Linked DNA regions of Mus musculus. The protein of the gene in region 1 purifies or fractionates together with the protein of each later gene. This does not show direct contact. Links are inferred from orthologs where the notes say so. Each region holds a gene or a part of one and is shown on either strand. Other genes may lie near its edges.

What was found.
Region 2: the proteins of Slc16a11 (region 1) and Emb purify together in Homo sapiens (co-immunoprecipitation; 3 studies listed by BioGRID and IntAct, counting the BioPlex papers as one, with this or other methods). This does not show direct contact. The link is inferred for Mus musculus from reciprocal best matches to the Homo sapiens genes SLC16A11 and EMB.

The regions. Positions count from the first base shown.
Region 1 is NC_000077.6:70,212,400-70,216,969, forward strand, and holds Slc16a11 (monocarboxylate transporter 11), read left to right. Parts: upstream 1-1,510; 5' UTR 1,511-1,865; intron 1,866-1,966; exon of another isoform or gene 1,967-2,102; 5' UTR 2,103-2,111; coding exon 2,112-2,313; intron 2,314-2,555; coding exon 2,556-2,699; intron 2,700-2,884; coding exon 2,885-3,652; intron 3,653-3,737; coding exon 3,738-3,967; 3' UTR 3,968-4,015; downstream 4,016-4,570. UniProt on the Homo sapiens protein: Proton-linked monocarboxylate transporter. It catalyzes the transport of pyruvate across the plasma membrane.
Region 2 is NC_000079.6:117,218,859-117,223,452, forward strand, and holds the start of Emb (embigin precursor), read left to right. Parts: upstream 1-1,714; 5' UTR 1,715-1,990; coding exon 1,991-2,099; intron 2,100-4,594. UniProt on the Homo sapiens protein: Plays a role in the outgrowth of motoneurons and in the formation of neuromuscular junctions.

The DNA.
Region 1 (4,570 bases):
CTTGGGGTTCTAGGTAGGGGGTCCACTTTTCCAATGTTCATTAACTCCATGGACAACACACATTGGCTCTGGCTATGAGCATGAGGAAGACGAGGAACATGCCCTTTCACAACCAATCACCCTAGGCTCCGGATTTTGCATTCTGCCAAAGTACACAGCATTATTTGGTACAACCCAGAAATAGTCTCCTCTCTGGCTGTATTTCTATTTCATCACGGAGAGAGCCATTCCTTTGGGCTGGCCGGGTTCCACTTACAGAGAGCAGACTTCTTACTGGCCTTCTCAAGAAACCAGCCAGCTGTTCCCTGCCTCCTTGGTGGCTGAGTACCTGCAGGCGCCACCACTCCGGTGGCTTTCACAGACAGCTCCTGGCTGGTGAATGCAGTGAGGCCACTTTCCTAAGGTGTCTGTGGCAGGGCCTCACACCTTCATGGTCTTCTGTTCTAGGACATTTCAGCAGAAAAACCATTTATGTGAAAACCCAGAACTGAGAAAAGGGTAGACTTACTGAGGAGGGAGGACGCTGATTCCCTGGGGTGGGAGTGTGGGATGGGAAGGTAGCCTGGCTCTCCTTTAATGGTTGTGAGGCCTTCCCCAAACACAGTGATGTGCTTCTGAAAGTCTGTCTACTCTCTTTAGTCTTCCAGTTTCACGACTTCTCAGCTACGTTTCTTCCCTTTCTAGGCTGATACTTTCTCATCAATTAGGAAACACCGCCATCCCGTGGCTACGGGTTGATATAAGCTCCAACCTGCAAATCGCTGAAATTTCAATGGCATTGTTTAATGATTAAACCAAATGAATCAAATGGCGGAAGTAAAGCAATAGTGACTGCTAAAGAAGGTTGCTCGTTAAAATCTTCAAGAAAAACACCTGGGTTTATTTCTCTGAATTCTTCCTTAAAAAAAAAAAAATCTTGCCCAAGCCTTTCAGCTATTCCCAGCCACCCTCACACTGTGGCTCTGCATGAATTCTGTCCTTTCCACTACAGTTCACATCAATCTGTCTCTCCAAGCTCTTTCCCTCAACTGTCCCCAATCTCTGTGTCACTCCTAGGTCTGTTCTCCCTGTATCCTCCCACGATAGTATAAACCTAAGTTCAATTTTTTTTTTTTTTTTAGCTGAACGCTTTGGGGTGGGTTAGGGGTCAGCTATTACATTTGTAAAATGGGGATAGTGCCATCTTCATAGGGATATTGTAAGGATGAAATGGCCAAGTATGTAAAGACTGCCTGGAACATCACAGGTCTTGGTACCGAGAACTCGCCTTCCTTTCTAGTGAGGGCATGCTGGTGTTGTCCATTGGAGGCCAGTGATTTGAGTGATTTGATGTTGGAGCTTTACAGGATCCTCAACAACAAATCCGAGAATCCAAGAACTCATTTAGGTTTTGGAGACCACTGCTATTTTCATGCGTGGGCAGTTGGCCGGGCGAAGAGTGCAACCGGGCTCTTCTTGCGTGCGCAGCAGGTGCGTGGGTGTGAGCCCCGCGGCGTGAGAGGCGCGGGGAGAGGCGGGGCGCGGCCACCAGGTACGCTCACTCCTCGCGGTTCCCCAACCAGGGCTGGGGCTCGTGTGTGGATAATTCAATCCTCGTGGGACTCGGCGTCAGGCCTTAGCCAGGCCTGGGTGGATTGGCTGTCTCTCTTTCCCCCGCCCTCGGTATTCACCCCCACCCCCACCCCGTGTCCCAGGTGGCTTGGGCCCCTGTGGTGATCTCTGTTTACTGGAGAGAGCGGTCCAAGTTGGGCTCCATCTCTGTGCTGGCTAGCTGCTCCGCAGAACCCTTTCTGCGGAAAGCGCGGAGAAAATCCGGCCGAACCCACCTTCGCCCTTTCCCTACCCCCAACGCCGGGAGAGGTCGGGTAAGAGAAAGAGGGTTTGGGAAGGATGAGCCCCTGGCCTGGGGGATCCTGCTGCCCCTCCATCCCAGGACCTCACGCGCACCTAGGACTTCTATCCCTAGGCCTGGTTCCCGCGCCCATGCTCCGGGCGACGTGCCCTCCCTGGGCGAGCAGCCCGAGGCTGGATCTCAGGGACGTCAGCTCCCTAGCGGAGGCCCAGGCGTGGAGACTTCATTCACAGGTGTTTCCCCACCCCAGCAGACGGCGATGACCCCCAAGCCGGCCGGACCCCCGGACGGGGGCTGGGGCTGGGTGGTGGCGGCCGCAGCATTCGCCGTGAACGGGCTCTCCTACGGGCTCTTACGCTCCCTGGGCCTTGCCCTCCCCGACCTCGCGGAGCACTTTGAACGAAGCGCCCAGGACACTGCGTGGGTCAGCGCCCTGGCCTTGGCCGTGCAGCAGGCAGCCAGTGAGGGGGGCCCCCCGAGGTGGGAGGCGGGCACCGGGTGGAGAGGCCGTGGATGTAGTGATGGGAGACAGCAGACTTGATTACCAGACAACCTGAGAGTTACTGGTGGAACCAAATTCTAGAAGAGTGGGTCTTGAGGTCAATGGGAGGAGTTACCAGGCCAGGCAAAACAGCCAATGAGAAATGTTTCGGATAGTTTGGGGGTCCCGGGGCATGTCTTCGTTGACTCCGCCCCCTTCTAGGCCCAGTGGGCAGCGCCCTGAGCACTCGCTGGGGGGCACGCCCCGTGGTGATGGTTGGGGGAGTCCTAACCTCGCTTGGCTTGGTCTTCTCGGCTTTCGCCCGAAGCCTCCTGCACCTCTACCTCGGCCTGGGCCTCCTCGCTGGTAAGAAGAGTGGGGTGGCTGTATGTTTAAGGGGTGATAATGGGGACAGGAACTTCTTATAGGATAGGGGACTGTACAAGGCGGTGTGTGTGTGTGTGTCCGCGTGAGCGTGCAGAGGAGAAGAGGGGCTAAAGAATGTTTGCAAAGCCATGCCTGTACCCTCATCCTGTCCTATCCATTTGCAGGCTCTGGCTGGGCCCTGGTGTTTGCCCCAGCCCTGGGTACCCTCTCTCGGTACTTCTCCCGCCGTCGGGTCTTGGCGGTAGGGTTGGCGCTCACCGGTAATGGGGCATCCTCGCTGCTCCTGGCACCTGCCTTGCAGTTCCTCCTTGATACTTTCGGCTGGCGGGGTGCCTTGCTCCTCCTTGGCGCTGTCACCCTTCACCTCACACCCTGTGGCGCCTTGCTAAGACCTTTAGCTCTCTCTGGTGACCCGCTGGCCCCACCTCGCACCCCCCTAGCTGCCCTTGGCCTAGGTCTGTTCAAGCGCCGGGCCTTTTCAGTCTTTGCTTTGGGCACCGCCTTGATCGGGGGCGGATACTTCGTCCCCTACGTTCATTTGGGTCCGCATGCTTTAGATCAAGGCATGGGTGGTTATGGGGCAGCGTTAGTGGTGGCTGTCGCTGCAGTGGGAGATGCCTGTGCCCGATTGGCCAGCGGATGGCTGGCAGACCAGGGCTGGGTGCCCCTTCCGAGGCTTCTGGTGGTGTTTGGGTCTCTGACTGGGTTAGGGGTACTAGCAATGGGACTAGTGCCCACTGTGGGGACAGAGGAGGGTTGGGGGGCTCCTCTGCTGGCCGCTGCTGGGGCCTATGGGCTGAGCGCTGGGAGTTATGCCCCACTGGTTTTCGGTGTGCTCCCGGGGCTGGTGGGCATTGGAGGTGTGGTGCAGGCCACAGGGCTGGTGATGATGCTGATGAGCCTCGGGGGACTCCTGGGCCCTCCTCTGTCAGGTAAGGGCTGAGCTCGCGGATTCGCTCACGACTCTCTTCTGCCCCTGAGATGCCAAGCTTCTAAATTCCTTTCCCCTCTTCTCAGGCTTCCTAAGGGATAAGACAGGAGACTTCAGTGCCTCTTTCCTGGTGTGCAGCTCTTTCATCCTCTCTGGCAGTTTCATCTACATGGGGCTGCCCAGAGCCCTCCCCTCCTGCCGTCCAGCCTCACCTCCAGCAACCCCTCCACCAGAGAGAGGGGAGCTGCTCCCAGTTCCACAAGTCTCCCTGCTTTCCGCAGGGGGTACTGGCTCCATCCGGGATACCACTTGTTGATCATTTTCTTGGTTGACCTCCTTCCCTAATAAAGAATTTTTATCTTACCCTCTTGAGAGTTCCATTAGCCAAACCAGGACCTCAAAGCATCTCTACTTATTTCAATAAAACTAGTTGAAAGCAACAGGGTCCCAGCAGCCCCGGGGCGGTGAGGGATGATGTCTGCCCAGTTTTTATTTGTCCAAATCCTTGCCTTTTAAGAGGATCTTGGAGAAATTGTCAGCTAGTCAGTTCCAGTTTGTTAGGGGCATAACTAAACCTCATACTTTCTTAACCTCTAAAAATTACTTTAACTCATGTGTGTTTGTGGAGGACAACCCTCTCGGAGCTGGACTTACAAGCAGCTGTGAACCAGGTGTAGGCACCAGGAGTAAGCAGGTCAGCTGGGAGAGGAGCAAGATGCTGAGCTTGACCATCAGACCTACCTTTAAACCGATTTTTATTTGTTACGTGGGAGGTGGGGGAGGTTGGGGGGGTGCCCACGGATACCAGAAGAGGATATCGGATCCTCTGGATTCTAGGTGGTTGTGAACCACTTAGTCTGACGCTCTGGCATACTGGAAGAGCAGGAAGTGCTCTTAACAGCTGAGCTCTTCTTTCTAG
Region 2 (4,594 bases), on another chromosome or scaffold:
GGCTGACACTGTTTGTAACTCAGGTTCTAGGGATCCATTGCCCTTCTCTGGCTTCCATGGGCACCAGGCACACATGCGATACAGACCTACATGCAGGCAACACCCACCCCCACCCGCACACAATGTATTGGCATGCTGTGGCATGCATTCGTGGAGGCTGAGATAGAGGAACTGCATGACTCCAGGGCCTGGGGGCTAGCCTCAGCAACACAGCCAAATTATGTCTAAGACACACCAAACAAAAAACTCCAGAAAAGACCTGTCCCCTGGAGAGATGGCTCAGAGGTTAAGAGCACTGACTGTTCTTCCAGAGGTTCTGAGTTCAAATCCCAGCAACCACATGGTGGCTCACAATCATCTGTAATGAGATCTGATGCCCTCTTCTGGTGGTCTGAAGACAGCTACAATGTACTCATATATAATAATAATAATAATAATAATAATAATAATAATAATAATAATAGACCTGCCCCCACCTCAGGCAAGCATTCCATCACAACTAGTATTTGCTGTGTTACACAGAGACACTATTATCTTCATAGAGACCTCAAACAAAAAGGTAAAAATTGCTACGGGTCGCGTTTAATGCCCTCAGCGTAAATGACATGACTTTTCTTCTTCTCCATGTATAAGCCCACAGTTTTCCAGGAATCTCACCTGCAACCCCATTTACAACAAAAGGAAATGTCTTAACTATCCGGTAGAACGCTTGCAGTCCATGTTTTGATCTTATCAGACTGTAACTCCACGAAAGGCGCCCCTGTAGCCACCCTACAAAAAGGAGGGATGGGGGGAGGGGCTCTTAGCAGCCCCTTTGAGTTGTAACTTGGGAGCCACCAAAATGGTCTTTATGGTTACTGTTAAAACACAGCTCTGAAACCCATGCACCTGGTCTTGGATGTGTCTTATTGTTATTAGCCCTCATATTTAAATCTACTCTGAGAAAACCCTCTTTTTAATTAACTCCAGCTCTGCTTCATACCACATCATTCTTTAATTCCTTCCTTCAGTTTTACCTGAGTGGAGGTTCCTAAGGGACAAAGGGCTACTAAGTAGGGCTTGCTGAGTGCCCCGGATTTAAGGCTCACTAGTTTTAACCTAGACGCCTTTCCCGCTGAATAGGAAAACAATTGTTTTGAACTATCTCAATTTATTTGATAGGAGAGTAAGAAACTTCAACCTCCGGCCCCGCGTGGGTAAGAGATAACATTGTATTCCACAATGTTTGACAAAGATGAATGGCCTTCTGCCATTTACACAGAATCCCCTTAACTTAGTTTTTGTTTGGTGAGCTCTTTGGCGCCAGGAGAGCTGTTGCCGCAAGCAAACAAAGGGAAACACACTGTGGGGCCTAGGGACTCTGAAATCTTAATCCGGAGGGAACTGGCCAAACCTTCAGAGGGGGAGGGTATGCACGACTAATAGAAAGCTCTGAGAAACATTAATTTAAGTACCGGGCTTGGGGGCACTGAATAGCGCCCTCGGTCTGGTAAGAAGAAACCTTTGCACATCCAAAGATGTATAGGAGCAGAACTATCCGGTCCTTTTCACCTGTCACATCAAAGTAAATGTGTGAACCCATCCAACGGATGGAAAGAACACTCTGTGGGGAGTTGCAACCCCTCCGGGAGGTGATGGGGTACACACACCTGGCTGGCTCCAGGAGCTAGGTCCCTCCCCAACCTGTGTTAGCCAGAGGGTGGGGGCGGGAGAGGATTCGGCGCCGAGGTTGCACAGCACATCCGGGCGCGCCGGTAGCGGGCTGCGGGCTGCATAATTGATGGAAGGCCGGCGCAATTGCGCTGGGAGCGTCTCGGGGGTGGAGGCCAGGGCGGCCGGGCCCCTCCCACTCGGTTTATTCTCGAGTGTCCTGTCCCCAGGACTGGCAGTGGGCGCCCAGTTACCAGCAAGTGTACACAGGGACCAACGGAGACGGATCGCAGCGAGCTGAGGGTGCCTTAGCGACCTCCTGGACAGACCCGCCCGCGCCATGCGCTCGCACACTGGCCTGAGGGCGCTTGTGGCGCCTGGTTACCCGCTCCTCCTTCTATGTCTTCTGGCGGCGACGCGCCCTGATCCGGCTGAGGGCGATCCCACAGGTACCTGGGGGGTTCGGGGGGCTGGCGCGGGGAGGGCTCTGGGTTCACCGGAAGAGGCTCAGTGGCGGCGACCCTCCAGCCCGACGACATCCCTTGCCGCTCGCGCAGGGGCCGCGGGGATGCAGGCGCAGGCGGCTACGGAGCGGAGAGGGGGGTGGCCTTTCATTGGCTGGGCGCGGGTTACCCAAGGAGGAAACGTGGGAGCCCGGGTGGCTCCGCATCCGCCGGGTATAGGGATGATCCCGTCCCAGTAAAGCTCAGTTTGATCCTGGGAGCTGGTAGTGAGACAGGGTCGGATTTTTCCTAGGAAGTGGGCAAATAGAGTGCGTGGGTTTGTGCGGGGGAGACTGGGGGCTTCTGCTAGTGTGGCATGATTATGAGTCCACATTCCGCGAGGCCGGCTCCCTTCATTAGAGCCACAGCGAGGCTCTCGTATCACCTTTCCTCCTGGCAGGTGTTGAAATTGAGTATGATTTTTAGAGCAGAGGGTAAAAATCGCGATAGCCAGCCAACTCAAACAAGCCCAGATAAGAAAATTAGACGTGTGTGTTGTCTTTTCATAACAATCTTTATAAAAACAAAACATTTTTCAAGGGTGTTGGGTTGCGTGTTTACGGCATGCGGACAGAAGGATTTCCGTGAAAAACATTACCGGGTCAAGATCTATTTTGCCACCTTAACTCACCTTTTTATACTTTATGTGTTGCAAGCGATCCAATGCTTTTCAGTGCAAGTTCCTGTGTCTGTGGCAGGTTAGCTCCCATTTAAGTCACCACTAACTTTCTTAAGCAGTTGAAAGACTGGCTTTACTGGGAACTAAATCCAGACATTATTCCACACAAGGTTTTGCGCTATTATAAATTATTTCCATGAGGTTATAGCATGTAGATTGGTTAAACATAGTATAAAAGAAAATGGTCAAAAGGACACACACACACACTGTTAACTTGGATTCTTCTAGTCCCTAGATTTTCTTGTTCCACATGTTTTCCATCATAATAGTTTAGGACATGACCTTACCAGGCGAACCTGGTTCTTCGGTCCTCTTCCATGCATCATTTATCATATGCTTCTGAAAAATATAGCCTCTTTTTCTAACTCGCTTCTTTTGCCTCCCCGCTTCCCCTTTCCGCTCCCAGCTCCTTCCCTCCCCCTCTCTTCCTTTCTTCCTCCTTCCCCCTTCCTTCTTTCTTCCCTCTGCACTTCCCTCTGCTGTTGTCTTCCTCCTTTCCGTGAGCGTGGGCCTGCGTGGACAGAAGCACCTCCACCTTGGAACTACAAATCCAGCCTACACTATTGTTTTGAGATTCAGTGTCTCTTGGGTTAGTTCTAGAAGTTTGCCTTCTCCACTTGGCAGTGGTGGGAACTTTTTCCCCAAGAGCTTTAAAAAGACCGATCTCCAGGTCTTGCCCTAGAAACAACTGATTCTTTTAGCATAGAAGTCAGCCTGGACATTAGCAGTTTGGAAAAATTCTCAGTGTGAGTCAAAGCAGGCAAAAATCACGAGAGGACCCAAGGGTGTATTGTTGCTGACGTCAGGTTGAAGTTAATGTACCCCCCTGGCTTCTATAGAGAAGAAACTTGGAAGCAGATGAAGCTGTAAATAAACGTGCTGAAAGTCAGGGGAACGTGGGACTTCCTTGGAAGACTCAGCTCAGACGAAAGTTACAAAATTTGAATGCCTTGGTATCTGAATTCCCAGCATCCATTTGGCAGCTTCCAACCATCTGTAACTGCAGTCCCAGGGGATCCGTCCTCTTCTAGCCTCCTTGGGCATGGGCATAGATGTAGGGAAAACACTCATATACATAAAAACAAATAGCTAGATGGATAGATGAAAGGATAAATAAAGTGGTGAGGCCTCTACAACTCTTCCTAGATTCAGTATTAACTTGAATGAGATTCAACATTGTCTTTACTAAAGCAATACAGCAAGGTTTATTGAGTGCTTATGTCTTTATACTTTGGACTATTTAGAAATAGGTGTTCTGCTAAAAGAAGATTTTTGGGGGCCAATATCAATAATGTAAGTTACTGTACTAATACAGTGTCAGAGGCACTGCACTGTGCAGTGTGTAGCCTGATGGATTAGACTTTATTTTCCCTGATTTCCTTTCTTTCTTTTTTTAAAAGATTTATTTATTTTATTTATATGAGTACACTGTAGTTGTCTAAAGACACACCAGAAGAGGGCATCAGATCTCATTACAGATGGTTGTGAGTCACCACGTGGTTGCTGGGAATTGAACTCAGTAGCTCTGGAAGAGCAGTCAGTGCTCTTAACCGCTGAGCCATGTCTCCAGCCCCTCCCTGATTTTCCAAAGAGGAAGTTGGGCAGTCAGTTAAGCAATTGCCTAGTGCGTGGAGTTAGTTTAGTAGTAAAGCAGAAGGTTTAAAGTGAGTCTCCCTCCATAGCCCGTTTTCTTAAACACAGCTCTCTCAGAGATCACTGCACCTACCTGTGTGAGTCTGTATGTGTGAAACCACATGTGCAT